2 linked regions of the Macaca mulatta genome follow. The protein of the gene in region 1 binds, or shares a complex with, the protein of each later gene. Links are inferred from orthologs where the notes say so. Each region holds a gene or a part of one and is shown in the gene's direction. Other genes may lie near its edges.

Region 1 (3,561 bases):
CCACCACTATAGTTCTCAGGGCTCTGCTTGTTCATCCTTCTCTCCCCTGCAACCCTTGGCAGCCACTAAACTTTTTTTAATTTTTAAATTTTTATTTATTTATTTATTTATTTTTGAGACAGAGTCTTGCTCTGTTGCCAGGCTGGAATGCAGTGGCTTGATCTTGGCTCACTGCAACCTCCGCCTCCCGGGTTTAAGTGGTTCCCCTGCGTCAGTCTCCTGAGTAGCTGAGACTACAGGCACGTGCCACCATGTCCAGCTAATTTTTTGTATTTTAGTAGAGATGAGGTTTCACCATGTTGGCCAGGATGGTCTCAATCTCCTGACCTTGTGATCCTCCCGCGTCGGCCTCCCAAAGTGCTGGACTACAGGTGTGAGCCACTGCATCTGGCCTGCAGCCACTGAACTTTTTATTGTCTCCGTGGTTTTTGTCTTTTCCAGAATGTCAGTAGTTGGAGCCATACAGTATGTAGCCTTTTCAGATTGGCTTCTTTCCCTTAGTAATACGTATTTAAGGTTTCTCCATATTTTTTTCATAGCTTGATAGCTCATTTCGTTTTAGCTCTGGATAGTATTCCATTGTCTGGATATACCACAGTTTATTTACCCACTCAGCTACTGAAGGACATCTTGGTTGCTTCCAGCTTTTGGCAATTATGGATAAAGCTGTAATAAGCATCCTTAGTGGATTTTTGTATGTACATAATTTTTTGGCTCATTTGGGTAAATACCAAGGATCATGATTGCTAGATTCATCAAATGGTAAGAGTGTATTTAGTGTTGTAAGAAACTGCTGAACTGTCATTCCACAGTGGCTGTGCCATTTTGCACACTCTTCCTGTTCCTTTGCATCTGCTCTAGCTTTTGGTATCTACGTGTGTGTGTGTGTGTGTGTGTGTGTGTGTGTGTGTTCATTGGATAGGCATGATACATATGTGTTTTAACTTATTACTTTGTCCTGGACATCTTTTCAAATTAGCACATAGAGAAATTTTACATTTACTTTGTGAACATCAGTATAGTGGAATGGATGTGCTGTGGTTAATCTATCTTCTGATTATGGACACTTGGGTTATTTCTAATATTTTCTTTTTATAAACAATGCTACAGTGACCATAAGTCACTTTTCTTTTCTTTTTTTTTCTTTTTTTTTTAAATTTGAGTTGGAGTCTTGCTCTGTCACCCGGGCTGGAGTGCAGTGGCGTGATCTCAGCTCACTGCAAGCTCCACCTCCCGAGTTCACGCCATTCTCCTGCCTCAGCTTCCCGAGTAGCTGGGACTACAGGCACCCACCACCATGCCTGGCTAATTTTTTATATTTTTAGTAGAGATGGGGTTTCACTGTGTTAGCCAGGACGGTCTTGATCTCATGACATCGTGATCCGCCTGCCTTGGCCTCTCAAAGTGCTGGGATTACAGGTGTGAGCCACTGCGCCCGGCCCGTAAGTCATTTTTCTATGTGGTACTGGTATTTCTGTAGGATAAGTTTCTAGAAATAGGATTGTTTGGTGAAAGTTGAGTATCTTTTCCTATGTTTAAGGTCATTTTTGTAATCTGCACGTTTCTGTCTTTGGGTCATTTTCTGTTTTTTTTTTTTTTTTTTTTTTTGAGATCTTGCTCTGTCTCCCAGATCTCAGCTTTCTGCAGCCTCCTTCTCCCAGGTTCAAGCGATTCTCCTGTCTCAGCCTCCCAAGTAGCTGGGATTACAAGCATGCACCACCATGCACGGCTGATTTTTTTATTTTTAGTAGACATGGGGTTTCACCATGTTGGTCAGGCTGGTCTCGAACGCCTGACGTGAAGTGATCCCACCTGCCTCAGCCCCACAAAGTGCTGGGATTACAGCCGTGAGCCACCATGCCTGGCCTATTTGTTAGGTTTTTGAAGCTCTTGAAATATTAGGAAGAATTAGCTCTTGGTGATATGAGTTGCATATATTTTTTGTCAGTTTATCTTTTTATTTTATAGAGCAATGAGTTTCAACTCCGTTCTGATTTCATAGTCTGTGGCTCTTCGTCACTATAATTATACTACCTGGAATAATACATGTTTTTCATTCCTGAAGATTTATGTACACGTAACTATGATTTAATGCATCTAGCATTTTAAAACTGTCTTCTAATAACAGTTTCTTCACTTGATAGACACGGCATCAGCGAGGAGATACGCATCCTCTAACCTTAGATGAAATTTTGGATGAAACACAACATTTAGATATTGGACTCAAGCAGAAACAATGGCTAATGACTGAGGTGAGAATTTAGTTGATTATCAAGAGAGATTTCCTGTAACTAGAATTTTTTTTTTTTTTTTTAGGCAGTCTTGCCTAAAAAAAGAGTCTTGCTCAGGCTGGAGTGCAGTGGCGTGATCTCAGCTCACTACTGACTTGGCCTACCGAGTAGTTGGGATTGCAGGCATGCGCCACAATGCCAGGCTAATTTTTGTGTTTTTAGTAGCGATGGGGTTTCACCATGTTGGCCAGGCTGATGTTGAACTCCTGACCTCAAGTGATCGGCCCACCTTGACTTCCCAGAGTGCTGGGGTTATAGGCGTGAGCCACCGCACCTTGCCTAGAATGTTTTAATATGGTGAAATCTGATAATGCTTTTTACTTTTTCTTAAAAGAAATGTTGTAGGGTCTTTGTTTTTTGAATGTACACATTTGTAAGATTGATTTGTTGGTTTTCACTTAATTTTATGTATCTATTTCAAAATGTTAAAGGTAAGACTTCTGTGTAAAGGTTGTAAAGAAGTCATTGTACCAGTTCCACTTATGTTTTTACAGATTAATTAATGCTTATTTTGTATTGCCAGATTTATAATTTGTATGCTTGTAAATTGAATTGTTTTTGTTTTAGAAAATTTAAAGCATAAGATACTGCAGGGATAGGAAGATATTTTGTTGCATAATTACTGCTCTTATGGCTTGATGTGGAAAAAAGTCGTGAATGCTGTGTATGAACACACACCATTTGAAGAAACCCCAGCACAGTCAGTGACCGTGCTAATTTGGAAATAAATAGCATTTAAAAATTCAGATGTTCACTGCTTTTGAATTTAAATGCGAAGTGAAAACTAAGAAGACTACTTTCTAGGACCAGAGAGAGATTCTAGAATCCAAATGTAAAATTCCTAACGTATAATTCATTTATTTTTTTACCACGCAAAATATAGGTCTTGACTTTTATAATGTAGCATGACCATTAATTAGCATAATTGTAGCTCATTGTATTAGTGATGTACAAACAATGGTAATCCACATTTAAATTTGCTGGTTTAGCTAACCTTGAGAGTTCATAGACTACCAACATATAGTTAACATGACTTTGATCATTTTACTATTCTATTCTCCCTTTTTTCTTCTTCCTGTGTTTCTTCTCTCTCTCCTTTCAGGGTCAGGCTGGCAGCTGCAGAAGAAAATATATAGGGTTGCTCTTTTTGAAGAGCTTTCCTTCTGATACTAGCTGTACAACAGAACTGACTAGAAACATAATTATATTCAGTAATTCCTGCATTCCTACTCAGTTTCATTCTCAAGCTGACATAGGTAAAGTTCTTGTA
Region 2 (4,259 bases), on another chromosome or scaffold:
GTTCAAGCAATTCTCCTGCCCCAGTCTCCCAAGTAGCCGGGATTACAGTCGTGAGCCATCGTGCCGGGGGTATGTAACATTTTTTTAACAGAGGATGAAATAGTCATGGATTTCCTGCACTCCAGCCTGGGTGACACAGCGAGACTCCCTCTCAAAAAAAAGAAAGTGAATTAATCTATAATCTGAGAACAGAAGTTGTAAACTATATGTGACTCACAGTCATATCTCTCTCGAGGCTTAAAATGTTTTTTGGGATTGCAATAGCTTTTAAATTTTTTCTTTCTCTCTCTCTCTTTCTTTCGTTCTTTCTTAGTGTTGCTCTGTTGCCAGGCTGGAGTGCAGTGGCGCGATCTCAGCTCACCGCAGCCTCCGCCCCCCGGGTTCAAGCGATTTTCCTGCCTCAGCCTCCTGAGTACCGGCTAATTTTTTGTATTTTTAGTAGAGTCGAGGTTTCGCCGTGTTAGCAAGGATGGTCTCAATCTCCTGACCCCATGATCTGCCCGCCTCCGCCTTCCAAAGTGCTGGGATTACAGGCGTAAACCACTGCGCCCAGCCTAAATTTCATTATTTTCTGTAGCTTCCTGGCCTTTCGACTAAGGCTCATGTAAATTTTTTGTTATTTCTACACCAATTTCTGTAGATTATTATGAGAATTAAGGGAGATAATTATATAAAGGGCTTAACACAGTGTCTGGCATTTAGGAAGAAAGCAGTAAGTGGTAGCTATTATTTATTATTATTTTTTGTGATGGAGTTTCGCTTTTGTTGCCCAGGCTGGAGTGCAGTGGCCTCCCAGGTTCAAGCAATTCAGAGAGTTGCTGGCCGGGCACAGTGGCTCACGCCTGTAATTCCAGCACTTTTGGAGGCCGAGGTGGGTGGATCACCTAAGGTTGGGAGTTTGAGACTAGCCTGACCAACATGGAGAAACCCCATCTCTACTAAAAACACAAAATTGGCCGGGCGCTGTGACTCACGCCTGTAATTCCAGCACTTTGGGAGGCTGAGGAGGGCGGATCACAAGGTCAGGATATCAAGACCAGCCTGGCTAACCCGGTGAAACCCCGTCACTACTAAAAATACAAAAAATTAGCCGGGCGCGGTGGTGGGCGCCTGTAGTCCCAACTACTGGGGAGGCTGAGGCAGGAGAATGGCCCGAACCCGGGAGGCGGAGCTTGCAGTGAGCCGAGATCGCGCCACTGCACTCCAGCCTGGGAGACGGAGCCAGATCCGTCTCAAAACAAAAAAAAGAGAGTTGTGGTTTGATGGCCGGTGGGGGGGCGGGGCGGTGGTGAGGGGCGGGGCTTAGTGGTTCACGCCCACGGCTACAAGGCCCAATCAGACCCGTGGAGCAGGTGGAGTTCCGCCCTCGCGGAGGAGGTGGAGTTCCGCTCTCAACGTCGCAGCAGGCGCGGAACTGGGGTTGCGGCGGCTAAGTGTGTTTCCGGTAGATTCCCAGGGGCGGTCGGAGGTGTGGACTGTTCCTGCCTTCATGCTCTGGGAAGATGTTCTACCATGTGAGCAGGGCCCAGGGTGGCGGCAAGGGCTGGGTGGAAAGGAGGAGCAAGGCCAGGCGCCGGCGCGAGGCTCCCCTTGTCGTCTGATAAGCTCCCAGCGCGTGGCCTGGTCGCCATCCCTCTTTTCTCCGCAGATCTCCCTAGAGCACGAAATCCTGCTGCACCCGCGCTACTTCGGCCCCAACTTGCTCAACACGGTGAAGCAGAAGCTCTTCACCGAAGTGGAGGGGACCTGCACAGGGAAGTGAGTGCCGAGCTCACCGCGCCGCCAGATCGTTCGATGCGCACACGGGTCGCTATACCTGCAAACCATCCGCAACTCCTATTAGTCCTGCCACCCACTCTAGGGACCCCGCTCACCCTCTCAGGCAGCCAGTTGCTTCCTGCTTTGGGTTCCCAGGGCGCCCTCTGCAATGCTGGACAATAAGACTTCCTTCCCTCAGCTGAGATTGGTCATTCATTCATTTACTCCTCAGACATTTTAAAAACACTTGGTGTGTGCCAGGACCCGTGTTGGGCTCAGAACAAGGTAGAATGGGAACAAGATAGAATGAGGCCAGCTCTTGTGGAGCTCACAGTGTAGTCATTGTTCCTGTGTCTCCTCTCACTCTGTCATTCTGCTGGTTTTCTCTTATCCCCTGTGTCCAGGGACCACACACCGTGGGCCTCTATATATCTTCTGAATGGATGACCAGAAAAAGTGGATCGAAAGTTTGGGGGAGGAAGGAAGTAGACTGGGACTTGACCATCTCTGGGCTTTGCACTGAGGGCCTTCTGTGATATTAATGAGCTGGGACCCAGCCCAGGGCAGTGGAGTACTTGGGCCTCCAGCATCAGAAAAACCTGCAGGAACATGCAGATTCCTGAGCCTCCTTATTCCCTACAGAATCAAGACTCTGTGAGGCAGACCTGAGAATCTGCATTTTAAGAAGATGATTCTCAGGCATCCCGAAGATTGAGATCTGTTTCCTCAAGGACTCCAGCCTTCTTGTACATTTACTGTGAAATTACCAGAACAGCATTTGGTCTTATACATACTGATCTGTGTTCTTTTTTTTTTTTTTTTTTTTATGAGACGGAGTCTCGCTCTGTCGCCCAGGCTGGAGTGCAGTGGCCTGATCTCAGCTCACCGCAAGCTCCGCCTCCCGGGTTCAGGCCATTCTCCTGCCTCAGCCTCCCGAGTAGCTGGGACTACAGGCGCCCGCCACCTCGCCTGGCTAGTTTTTTGTATTTTTTAGTAGAGACGGGGTTTCACCGGGTTAGCCAGGATGGTCTCGATCTCCTGACCTCGTGATCCGCCCGTCTCGGCCTCCCAAAGTGCTGGGATTACAGGCTTGAGCCACCGCGCCCGGCCCATACTGATCTGTGTTCTGTCTTCTCTTGGTCATTAAGCTCTCTGGGAGCAGAGGTGCTATCTACTTGTCCTTTTGCTCTCCCCGACACTACTCCCAAGAGCTCAGTGACTTTTATTGCAGATGTCTCTAGAGGCTCTTGGACACACAATGTCTTTCTGTTTCTCATCCTCCTTGCAGGTATGGCTTTGTAATTGCTGTCACCACCATTGACAATATTGGTGCTGGTGTGATCCAGCCAGGCCGAGGCTTTGTCCTTTATCCAGTTAAGTACAAGGCCATTGTTTTCCGGCCCTTTAAAGGGGAGGTCGTGGATGCTGTTGTAACTCAGGTCAACAAGGTGAGACCATACGTAGGGGAGGCATTGGGGTAGTCTCTCAGTAGATCTGGGTTGGGTCCTGGCTCCACTTCATAACTGTGCCTTCAGCTAAGTCACTTTACTTCTTTTTTTTTTTTTTGAGATGGAGTGTTGCTCTGTCGCCCAGGCTGGAGTGCAGTGGTGCCATCTTGGCTCACTGAAACCTCTGCCTTCTGGGTTCCAGTGAGTCTCTTGCCTCGGCCTCCCAAGTAGTTGGGACTAAAGGCAGGTGCCACCATGGCCGGCTAAGTTTTTGTATTTTTTTTAGTAGAGATAGGGTTTTGCCATGTTGCCCAGGCTGATCTCGAACTCCTGAGCTCAATCTGCCTACCTCGGCCTCCCAAAGCGCTAGGATTACAGGTGTGAGCTACCACGCCTGGCCATCACTTTACTTCTTGTGCTGCACTTTCAAATTGTATGGTAATCTTCCCTGCCCAACTCAGAGGGCAAGAGTCAACATTAATAGTCATAACAATAAAAGCCTGTGTTGATTGAGTAGTGACTGTGGGCCAGGTGAAGTGCAGAGACTCACAATGACTAAAAGGTGGGTGCTTTCCTTTTTTTTTTTTTTTTTTTAAGATGGAGTTTAGCTCTGTCGCCAGACTGGAGTGCAGTGGCACAATCTTGGCTCACTACAACCTCCGCCTCTGGGTTCAAGTGATTCTCCTGCCTCAGCCTCCCAGGTAGCTGGGACTATAGGCATGCGCCACCACGCTCAGCTAATTTTTGTATTTTTAGTAGAGATGAGGTTTCTCCATGTTGGTCAGGCTGGTCTCAAACTCCCGACCTCAGGTGATCTGCCTGCCTCAGCCACCGAAAGTGCTGGGATTGTAGGCGTGAGCCACTGCCCCCGGCCAGTGGGTGCTTTTTACAGAAGCTGAAGCTTAGAAGAAGTTAAGTGTATTGGCCAAGATCATGTGGCCAACAGGTGTTCAAATCTTGGACTAACAGGCCTAAGCTCTTTAATACTTTAAAATGAAAGGTTAGGCTGGGCATGGTGGCTCACATCTGTAATCCCAGCACTTTGGGAGGCTG

What was found. The genes of interacting proteins can lie anywhere in the genome.
Region 2: GTF2E2 (region 1) and POLR2G share a complex: the UniProt entries of both Homo sapiens proteins name them as parts of the TBP-based Pol II pre-initiation complex. The link is inferred for Macaca mulatta from reciprocal best matches to the Homo sapiens genes GTF2E2 and POLR2G.

The regions. Positions count from the first base shown.
Region 1 is NC_133413.1:32,393,519-32,397,079, reverse strand, and holds part of GTF2E2 (transcription initiation factor IIE subunit beta), read left to right. Parts: intron 1-2,144; coding exon 2,145-2,252; intron 2,253-3,561. UniProt on the Homo sapiens protein: Recruits TFIIH to the initiation complex and stimulates the RNA polymerase II C-terminal domain kinase and DNA-dependent ATPase activities of TFIIH. Both TFIIH and TFIIE are required for promoter clearance by RNA polymerase.
Region 2 is NC_133419.1:11,297,749-11,302,007, reverse strand, and holds the start of POLR2G (DNA-directed RNA polymerase II subunit RPB7), read left to right. Parts: upstream 1-1,398; 5' UTR 1,399-1,489; coding exon of another isoform or gene 1,490-1,502; coding exon 1,503-1,514; coding exon of another isoform or gene 1,515-1,648; coding exon 1,649-1,758; intron 1,759-3,046; coding exon 3,047-3,206; intron 3,207-4,259. UniProt on the Homo sapiens protein: Core component of RNA polymerase II (Pol II), a DNA-dependent RNA polymerase which synthesizes mRNA precursors and many functional non-coding RNAs using the four ribonucleoside triphosphates as substrates.